Linked DNA regions of Rattus norvegicus. The protein of the gene in region 1 binds, or shares a complex with, the protein of each later gene. Links are inferred from orthologs where the notes say so. Each region holds a gene or a part of one and is shown in the gene's direction. Other genes may lie near its edges.

Region 1 (3,806 bases):
GTCCAGAAACATTAATTTAATAAATAATATGTATTGTAAAGTGTTCCTGAATCATACTATTCCAATTCTATACACGTCAAATAAAGAACTGATTCAGAAGGTCATAAGAAAGTATTGATTATGTTTAGTGATTATCTTTCCTACTCAGACATATTAGAAAAATCTATTTTAAAAAACCTAAATAAAGATCAGATGGTGCTTTTGATAACCTTTTACCTCCTTGGTACTTTCACAGTGCTGGTTAGTGTTTGTTAATCAGTGAGTCACGTGACAAATGCTTTATTGGAGTCAGCTAAATCACGTAGTATAGATGAAGAAACACAGGTCGGCATTAAACTAAGGAACAACTACCTTACTCCTTGAAGAGCTGCTGTACATTTTGTCCGGCTGTTTTAAGCAAAATAAAATCATTTTCTTTTTGCTCAGAATTCTTGGGCTTTTAGGATTTTTCTTTTCCTTTTTTAAGATTTATTATATATATGTTACACTCATACACACATACTGTAGCTGTCTTCAGACACACCAGAAGAGGGCATCAGATCTCATTGTGAGCCACCATGTGGTTGCTGGGATTTGAACTCAGGACCTCTGGAAGAGCAGTCAGTGCTCTTAACCACTGAACCATCTTTCTAGCCCGGATTTTTGTTTTTGACTGTTCACTTTTTAAGGCACGGTCTCTCTATATAGCCTGACTGGCCGGGAACTAGCTATGTAGACCAAGTTGGTTTGTAACTTAGAGATCTGCTTGCCTCTGCCTCCCAAGTGTTGGATTAAAGGCATCCAATATCATGCCTGGCCTCCTCTGTGTTGGTTTTAAAGGTTAGTTTAGAACATGGTATTTCTCTGTCTCTCTGTCTCTCTGTCTCTCTGTCTCTCTGTCTCTCTCTCTCTCTGTCTCTCTCTCTCTCGTTTGCTCTTCTGGAAGTCACTATGTAGACCAGGTTGGCCTGGAACTTAACAGCTATCCACCAGCCTCTGCCTCCTTCCCTGTCCTTCTGCTGGAATTGAAGGTATATACCACCATGCCCTTGCAGAAGATGGTATTTCTTTTTTTGAACAGCAAAACATATTTAATAATAGAAAGAATGATAAGAATTATATGTGTAAAAGTCTGTCATCAGGGAATATACTTTCTTTAAATTCTTATTGCTTGGATATAAAAATTAATGTCCAAAGGGAATTGCTGGAGGGTGTGGATAAAAGGATGGTTCAGTAGTTAAATGCAAGTGTACTGCTCTTCTAGAGGACCCAAGTTCAGTTCACAGCAACCATGCCAGGCAGCTCACAGTCACCTTAACTCCTGCTACAGGAGCATCCAACGCCTCTGTGGGCACCTGAACTCATATGCACACACACGCTTAAAAAAATGAACATAAATCTTGAAACAGAAAATTTTTGGGTAAATGTAAAATTTAAAATTTATTCAACAATTAAATTTGAAGAATTTAGCAGGAAAATTTATAATCTTACTTAAATTAGATTATCATATATTATTAAATGAAATCTTAAAGATTATTTTAATCAGTAGTATTATCAAAGAAACATCAATTTATCATTGTGTTCTTTGCTCTGTTTTTCAGCTTCCCAGAATCAAGAACGGCTGTGTGCATTTAAAGACCCGTATCAACAAGACCTTGGGATTGGTGAGAGTCGAATCTCTCATGAAAATGGGACAATATTATGCTCCAAAGGGAGCACATGTTATGGTCTGTGGGAGAAATCAAAAGGGGACATCAATCTTGTGAAACAAGGCAAGTAATATTTTTTTAAAAAATTATTTACCTTTTTATTTTATGTGCATCGGTGTTTTGCTTGTATGTATCTCTGTGTGAGAGTCAGATCTTGGGAGTTACAGACACTTGTGAGCTGCCATATGGATGCTGGGATTTGAACCTGGGCCCTCTGGAAGAGCAGTGAGTGCTTCTAACAGCTGAGCCATCTCTCCAGTCCCCAAGTAACACCTTTTTTTTTTTTTTTTTTTTTTTACTTAATTGCTTTGTGCTTTTGTGCTTTTTTTCTTTTGGGTGCTGAGAATCAAACACAGACCATTGCACATAGGCAAGCTCCCTGGCGCAGGGCTATATCTTTAGCATTGTTTTCATACAGTTGGAACTTATCTAGAAAGGACATGTAGGTGGATTGAAATCCTATCCAGTAAATAAGATAAACACATAAATATATCTATAATTCACCCACAAGCTCCAAATTCATAAAAGGAAGTTTACTTTTAGTGTATGTAGTTAGTTTGCTCATTTGCTTGCTTGGCTGAAATAGGGTCTCACTGTGTAGCCCGGCAGGCCTGGAGTTCACAGAGATCTGCCTTCTTCTGCTTCCCAAGTGCTGAGACTAAAGTCATGCTCCACTGTGCCTAGCCTTTTAGTGTGTTTTAATAATGTCTTTCTCTTTACAAGTTAATGTTTGTGAATGAAGTTTGTATAAAAACCCAAAAAACTATTTAGAAAAACCAAGGTCTACAACTCACTTTTCTTAAAAAAAAAAAAAAAAGTTTTGTGTTGATTCCCCCCCCTTGGGTACATTTTTCATGTATTTTAATATTTATATGAGTCCCAGTCTTCTTTTAAAATTAGAATAATGTTATATTATTCCAACCTCTTTTCCCCCATGTTATTGTAAATGCCCTCTGAAGACATGTGTACCTCAGCACTATATTTCACTGTGTATATGTATTACGGTTTACATAAACGCTTTGAACACTATGCTGTTTTAAGGTTTTCACTGAAATGCATATCCAGCAATGGAAACCTTCAAACATATATAAAAGTTGTGTCTGATTGCTTTTTTTTCTCTCTTTTGTTTTTTTTTTTTTTTTTTGGTTCTTTTTTTCGGAGCTGGGGACCGAACCCAGGGCCTTGCGCTTCCTAGGTAAGCGCTCTACCACTGAGCTAACTCCCCAGCCCCTTTCTCATTTTTTTAAAAGTAGATTCTTTAATGTAGAATTAATAGATCATAAAAATATATGGTTATTTTAAAGGCTTTACATTAAAATTGCTATATTTTTCCAAAATTAACACACAAACTGATTACAGAATTGTAAGAGAGTGACTGTCACTGAATCTTTGTTACGATTCCATTAATTTTTTAATTGAGACGATTTAAATCTAAGTGCTCTTTCTTCAATAGTTCTCATAGTAATGGCGCAGCTAATGGTAATCGCTTTGTTGGCTGCCTTCCCCGTGAGATGTCTGTGGAACCCTTTACCATTTTCACTCAGTTTCTTTATGACTGTACTACTTAGTTTTATATGGCTGCTACAGTTACTTCATAATCTGTTGTTTTCCTTACTGTACTGTTTCCTAACTTGCTTTAATATTGATCTGTAGGGTGCTGGTCTCACATTGGTGATCCCCAAGAGTGCCACTATGAAGAATGTGTAGTAACTACCACCCCACCCTCAATTCAGAATGGAACATACCGTTTTTGCTGCTGTAGTACAGACTTATGTAACGTCAACTTCACTGAGAACTTCCCACCTCCTGATACAACACCACTCAGTAAGTATTAACAGGAATTTTTTTTTTAATAATTCCTTGTTCTAGAAGTTTTGAAAACATAACGGATAAACATTCAAGGTTAGTAAAAATTTACCTAAAATCTCCAAAGTAATATACCAGCACCAGCAAAGCTTTGGTGTATTTATTATCAAGTAAGTCTGAATCAAGACATGATTTTCCCTTTGTTTGGCGTTATGATGTGTGCTTGTAATCCCAGAACTCCAGAGGCCAAAGCAGTAGGATTGTAAATTCAAGACAGTCTGAGCTAACTGGTAAGTTCTTACCCAGCCTGGA
Region 2 (4,306 bases), on another chromosome or scaffold:
TCGCCAAGGCAGACAGGGAAAGAGCGGAGGAAAGAGGGGGTGGGAGGAGGATCAGGCAGCAGCGACCTGCAGAATCCGCCTCCCCCTCCGCCCCCGGGAAGCCCGAGCGGGGAGGCGCGGACCGTCTCCTCCCGCACGGCCCGGACGACACTCCCCCCTCCCCCCTTTTTTTCCTGCCAACGTCTATCTCAACGCGCGCGCACATACGGAGATTGTGCGGCTTTTTTACCCCTCGGGAAAAAAAGAACAGGGAGTGGAAAGGAAGAGAAGGCAAAGCGAAGAACTCCTCGGGCGCGCTCTGCACTCAGAGCCACGGCTGGGCGCGGGGACGCTGCTGCCACCGCCACCGCCCGCTCTCTCCCCGGCCCTGCGGCGTGTGCCAGTGGGAGTACGAGCCAGGGCACTCGATCCCGGGGACACAGAGAGACTTTTGGCCGCCACTGCCGCAGCAGGCAGAAGAGACAGCGGCGAGAAGGGCCCTGCCACCGCCTTTCCCTCCTCCGCCGCTCCGGCCGGCCCGCGCAGGCAGCCGGGCGCAGGGAAGCAGGGAGGAGCGGAGGCCCCGGAGAAGCGCGCCGCGGCCCGCCCGCCCGTGGATGCGGCGCCCGGGGGAGCCCAGAGACAACTTTGCCGGGTGACGCGCTCGGAGGACTGCAGGGCCAGCCGCCCAGGAGGTCTCGGCGCCGCCAGTGAGAGGGGCCCGCGCGGCGGCGCTCCCCCGCACCGCGCTCTCCTCCCGCCGGCCGGGAGCAAGGGAGAACGACCTGCCCATCACTGCCGCCGCCTCGGGCGGCCGTGTCCTCGCTGTGAGCAGCGACAGGGCGAGGCGCTCAGGTGCGGTCGTGGGGCCCCAGCCGCAGCGCCCTCCGCAGCGCCGCGCCCGGGGGGCTCCGGCACCTTCGCTTCAGTCTCCAGAGCGACTTGCGTCCGCTGCTGCCTCTTCCCTCCACCTTGGCAGCCCGGCCAAGCCAAGCCATCGTGCCAGCGCCGCTGCCGCCGCTCCTCGCTTTCGCTTCACCCCGATCGGGGGACTGCGGTGGCCCTCGACGCGGAGAGGATGGGCAGGCTGCAGATGCCTAGGCGCCCCGAGACGCCCGCGCGCCACTGACCCGGCGGTCCCCCCCCCCCCCGCCGCCAACCCGCGTTCCCCTCTGGTCCCCGCGGCGCCCCTTCTCGGCCGCGCGGGAACCCCCGCGGCCCGGCCGGCCCCCTCCCCCTGCGAGCCGGCGGCGGCGCTCCCGGCAGGCGGGCGGGCGGAGGCCCGGGCGGGGGCGGGGCGGGGCGGTGCGCCCGGAGCCCGGAGCCCGGCCCTGAGCTCGCTTCGCCTCGCCTCGCGGCGGGCGCCCTCGTCGCCAGCGGCGCACCATGGACGGGCTGCCCGGTCGGGCGTTGGGGGCCGCCTGCCTTCTGCTTCTGGCGGCCGGCTGGTTGGGACCCGAGGCCTGGGGCTCTCCCACACCCCCGCCGTCGCCCGCTGCGCCGCCCCCGCCCCCGCCACCCGGAGCTCCGGGCGGCTCGCAGGACACCTGTACGTCGTGCGGCGGCGGCGGCGGCGGCTTCCGGCGGCCCGAGGAGCTGGGCCGGGTGGACGGTGACTTCCTGGAGGCGGTGAAGAGACACATCTTGAGCCGCCTGCAGTTGCGGGGCCGGCCCAACATCACGCACGCTGTCCCCAAGGCCGCCATGGTCACGGCCCTGCGCAAGCTGCACGCCGGCAAGGTGCGCGAGGACGGCCGCGTGGAGATCCCGCACCTCGACGGCCACGCTAGCCCGGGCGCCGACGGCCAGGAGCGCGTCTCTGAGATCATCAGCTTTGCAGAGACAGGTGGGTTCGGCCACCGGGAAGCCAGAGGCGGCTGTGATCCCTCCCGTTTTCCCTCTCCTAGGAAGCTCCTGCTGCCTTCGCCGCCTCTGCAGCCCGCACGCCCCGAGGGCATTAAGGCTCGGTTCTGCGGTGGCCTTGCGCGCGTCTCATGGTGGCGGTCCTTTCCTATGTCGCGCGTCCAGACTACAGATCCTTTGCGGCTTCCCTTTCCCTGCAGCAACTGGAAAGTACCCTGCCCTTCATCCTGGCTCACGGGAATTGGGCCCCAGCGCCTCTGGGCGCGCGTCCCCCTCCCGGCAGATGCGCGCAGCCCTGGCTCTGCGGGCACTTGCTTAGTGATTGCTTAATGTTTTTGTTTCCCACGATCGGAGTGTAGGCTTAGCAGTGTAGAGATGGAGATGTGTGTGCTTGTTGATATACGTGGGCAGGAGAGGAGGAGAGGAGGAGAGGAGAGGGAAGGAGAGAGAGAGAGAGAGAGAGAGAGAGAGAGAGAGAGAGAGAGAGAGAGAGAGAGAGAGCGCCAGCCAGAGCCAGCCAGCTTGCGTGAGAGGCCCCCGGGGCCCCTTGCATCGCCCGGCGGCATGAACTTGCCAGAATTGCTGAAGCATCGGTGGGGAGAGCTAGGCAACCTCCCTTCCGATTGTGTGGGCACCAGAGTCGGCGGAAGGCAGCTTCTCAACAGGTCCATCATTTACGTAAAGACGCGGCTCAGGAACAGCCTCATGCCTTTAGGCTTGCCTGGCAGCAGCCGCAGCCCTCTCTGGTTCGGGAAAGAGAGGCAGAGTTTGTAGTTAACAAAGAGTGGTATTCCTTTCTGCAACGTCCTCCCAGGCCCCATGTTGCAAATTTCTGTCCACTATCTAAATATAAAATTCAGAGAAAAAGAAAAGAAAAAAATCTTTGGGAAGTTTAAAAAGGAGGAAAATTTCCCGGGCAGAAACGGTGTAAGTACTTTAGACATCGCTGTCCTTTTCAGGACTTGAATGAGCTAGTCTGGCTTTTGTGCTGGGAGCTCAGCCCCATTTGTGCAGAGGGGACTGCAGAGAAGGTCGCAGAGGGGGAAGCCCGATGTAGTCAGGGTGGGGGACAAGCAGGGAGCCTGGGAAGAGGGGGGGGGATCAGCTATGCTCCTGGCTGCAAATGCCCCCTACTCTCTCAGGCATCAGGCAGACCCTGCCTGTGCTGCTGCCGGGGGATAAAAAGGGATGAAAAGTTTTGCATGGCCGGGTGTGGAGAAAGGCAGAGACAATCAAGGCCGGTTTGTCCTTAGAAAGAAATACATTGCCATTTTAGCTGTCCGCCAGAGTCAGGGAAAACTCCACATGCAATTAGAGGGCTTGGATTAAAAGGTGCATTGGGGCCCAGAAGGGAAACGTGACTCGGGAAGGTCGAGAGGCCTTTTGGTCCCGGTGGCACAAAATGACAGCGGGGGCTGTTATATTTCTGGTCCGATTCACGGAGCCAGCTCTTTAACTTATAAATAACAGATTCAGGTCACAGGCAGCTCGGCCAAGACCAGCTTTTAAGGCTGCAGTTTCCCCCTTTTCAAAGTCAGATGTCAGCGTTATTAAAGGAGCCAGTGAGGACTGAGGAAGGGGCTGGGAGCGGTGGGGGGTGCTTGGTGTGAGGTTTGATAGTACCAGTCATGTCTGCTGAATATGTAGAGGCCATCAGAGGGAAGGGTTGATGGAATGTTCTTCCAGAAAGGGACATCAGTTCTGGCAGAACTATTCTTCAGGCTGGGCTGAATTATTGTGATGACTAATAACCCACAACCTTAGAGATCTCAAACTGCTGCCTTCTGGGAGTCAGGGTCTGGCCAGAGGATCAGACCTTGAGTTTTCAAGACTCCCTGTCCTGTCCCTTGGGACGCCTAGGAAACAGGGGCTGCCCTTTGCAGCTTGCAGGGTGAACACTTGTACGTCAAAAACTCAAACAGAGCTTGCTTGTTTGCAGTGGAGGTCCCACTGAGGCTTGGGTCAGATCATGTTTAGGCAAACACTGGAAAAGAGGCTGTAGATGGTTCAGCTTGATTTTGCAATGCCGCAAGTTAACCAGGACGAAGAAGAAGGAGGAGGAGAAGGAGGAGGAGAAGGAGAAGGAGAAGGAGAAGGAGAAGGAGAAGGAGAAGGAGAAGGAGAAGGAGAAGGAGAAGGAGAAGGAGAAGGAGATGGAGAAGAAACCCTATTTAAACCTACCCTCCCAAATCCCAAATCCTCCCTGGGATCTTAGTTTTGTTTTCAGAGAACCCATAACAACTTGTTAAGATTTTGGCCTCCTGACAAGTTGAGCTTTGAGGCCTGACAATCTGATAGCCTGGGAGAGGTGAGGCAAGGATTTTTTATGGTCCGGACCTCCTGGCTTCACCCTAGTCCTGTTCTGTCAATGGGAAGTGTTTCTTCTGCCCCTGACAGGTTATGGCAGAAGCTGGGGTCCCAGGAATGGTATTTCTGGTCAGTAACAGTTTCCAGCTGTGGTGCA

Evidence for each region.
Region 2: the proteins of Bmpr2 (region 1) and Inhbb are in contact, whole or in part, in a crystal structure (PDB 7U5O), measured with the Homo sapiens proteins. The link is inferred for Rattus norvegicus from reciprocal best matches to the Homo sapiens genes BMPR2 and INHBB. Residues at the interface, in NP_001195.2 of Homo sapiens: Tyr40, Tyr67, Leu69, Val80, Lys81, Trp85, Ser86, His87, Ile88, Gly89, Asp90, Gln92, Ile108, Gln109, Tyr113, Phe115; in NP_002184.2 of Homo sapiens: Phe309, Asn318, Asp319, Ile322, Ala323, Pro324, Gly326, Tyr327, Tyr328, Thr379, Met380, Ser381, Met382, Leu383, Phe385, Asp386, Asn390, Ile391, Val392, Lys393, Asp395, Ile400.

The regions. Positions count from the first base shown.
Region 1 is NC_086027.1:68,735,280-68,739,085, forward strand, and holds part of Bmpr2 (bone morphogenetic protein receptor type-2 precursor), read left to right. Parts: intron 1-1,580; coding exon 1,581-1,751; intron 1,752-3,341; coding exon 3,342-3,512; intron 3,513-3,806. UniProt on the Homo sapiens protein: On ligand binding, forms a receptor complex consisting of two type II and two type I transmembrane serine/threonine kinases.
Region 2 is NC_086031.1:33,086,433-33,090,738, reverse strand, and holds the start of Inhbb (inhibin beta B chain precursor), read left to right. Parts: upstream 1-1,365; coding exon 1,366-1,825; intron 1,826-4,306. UniProt on the Homo sapiens protein: Inhibins and activins inhibit and activate, respectively, the secretion of follitropin by the pituitary gland.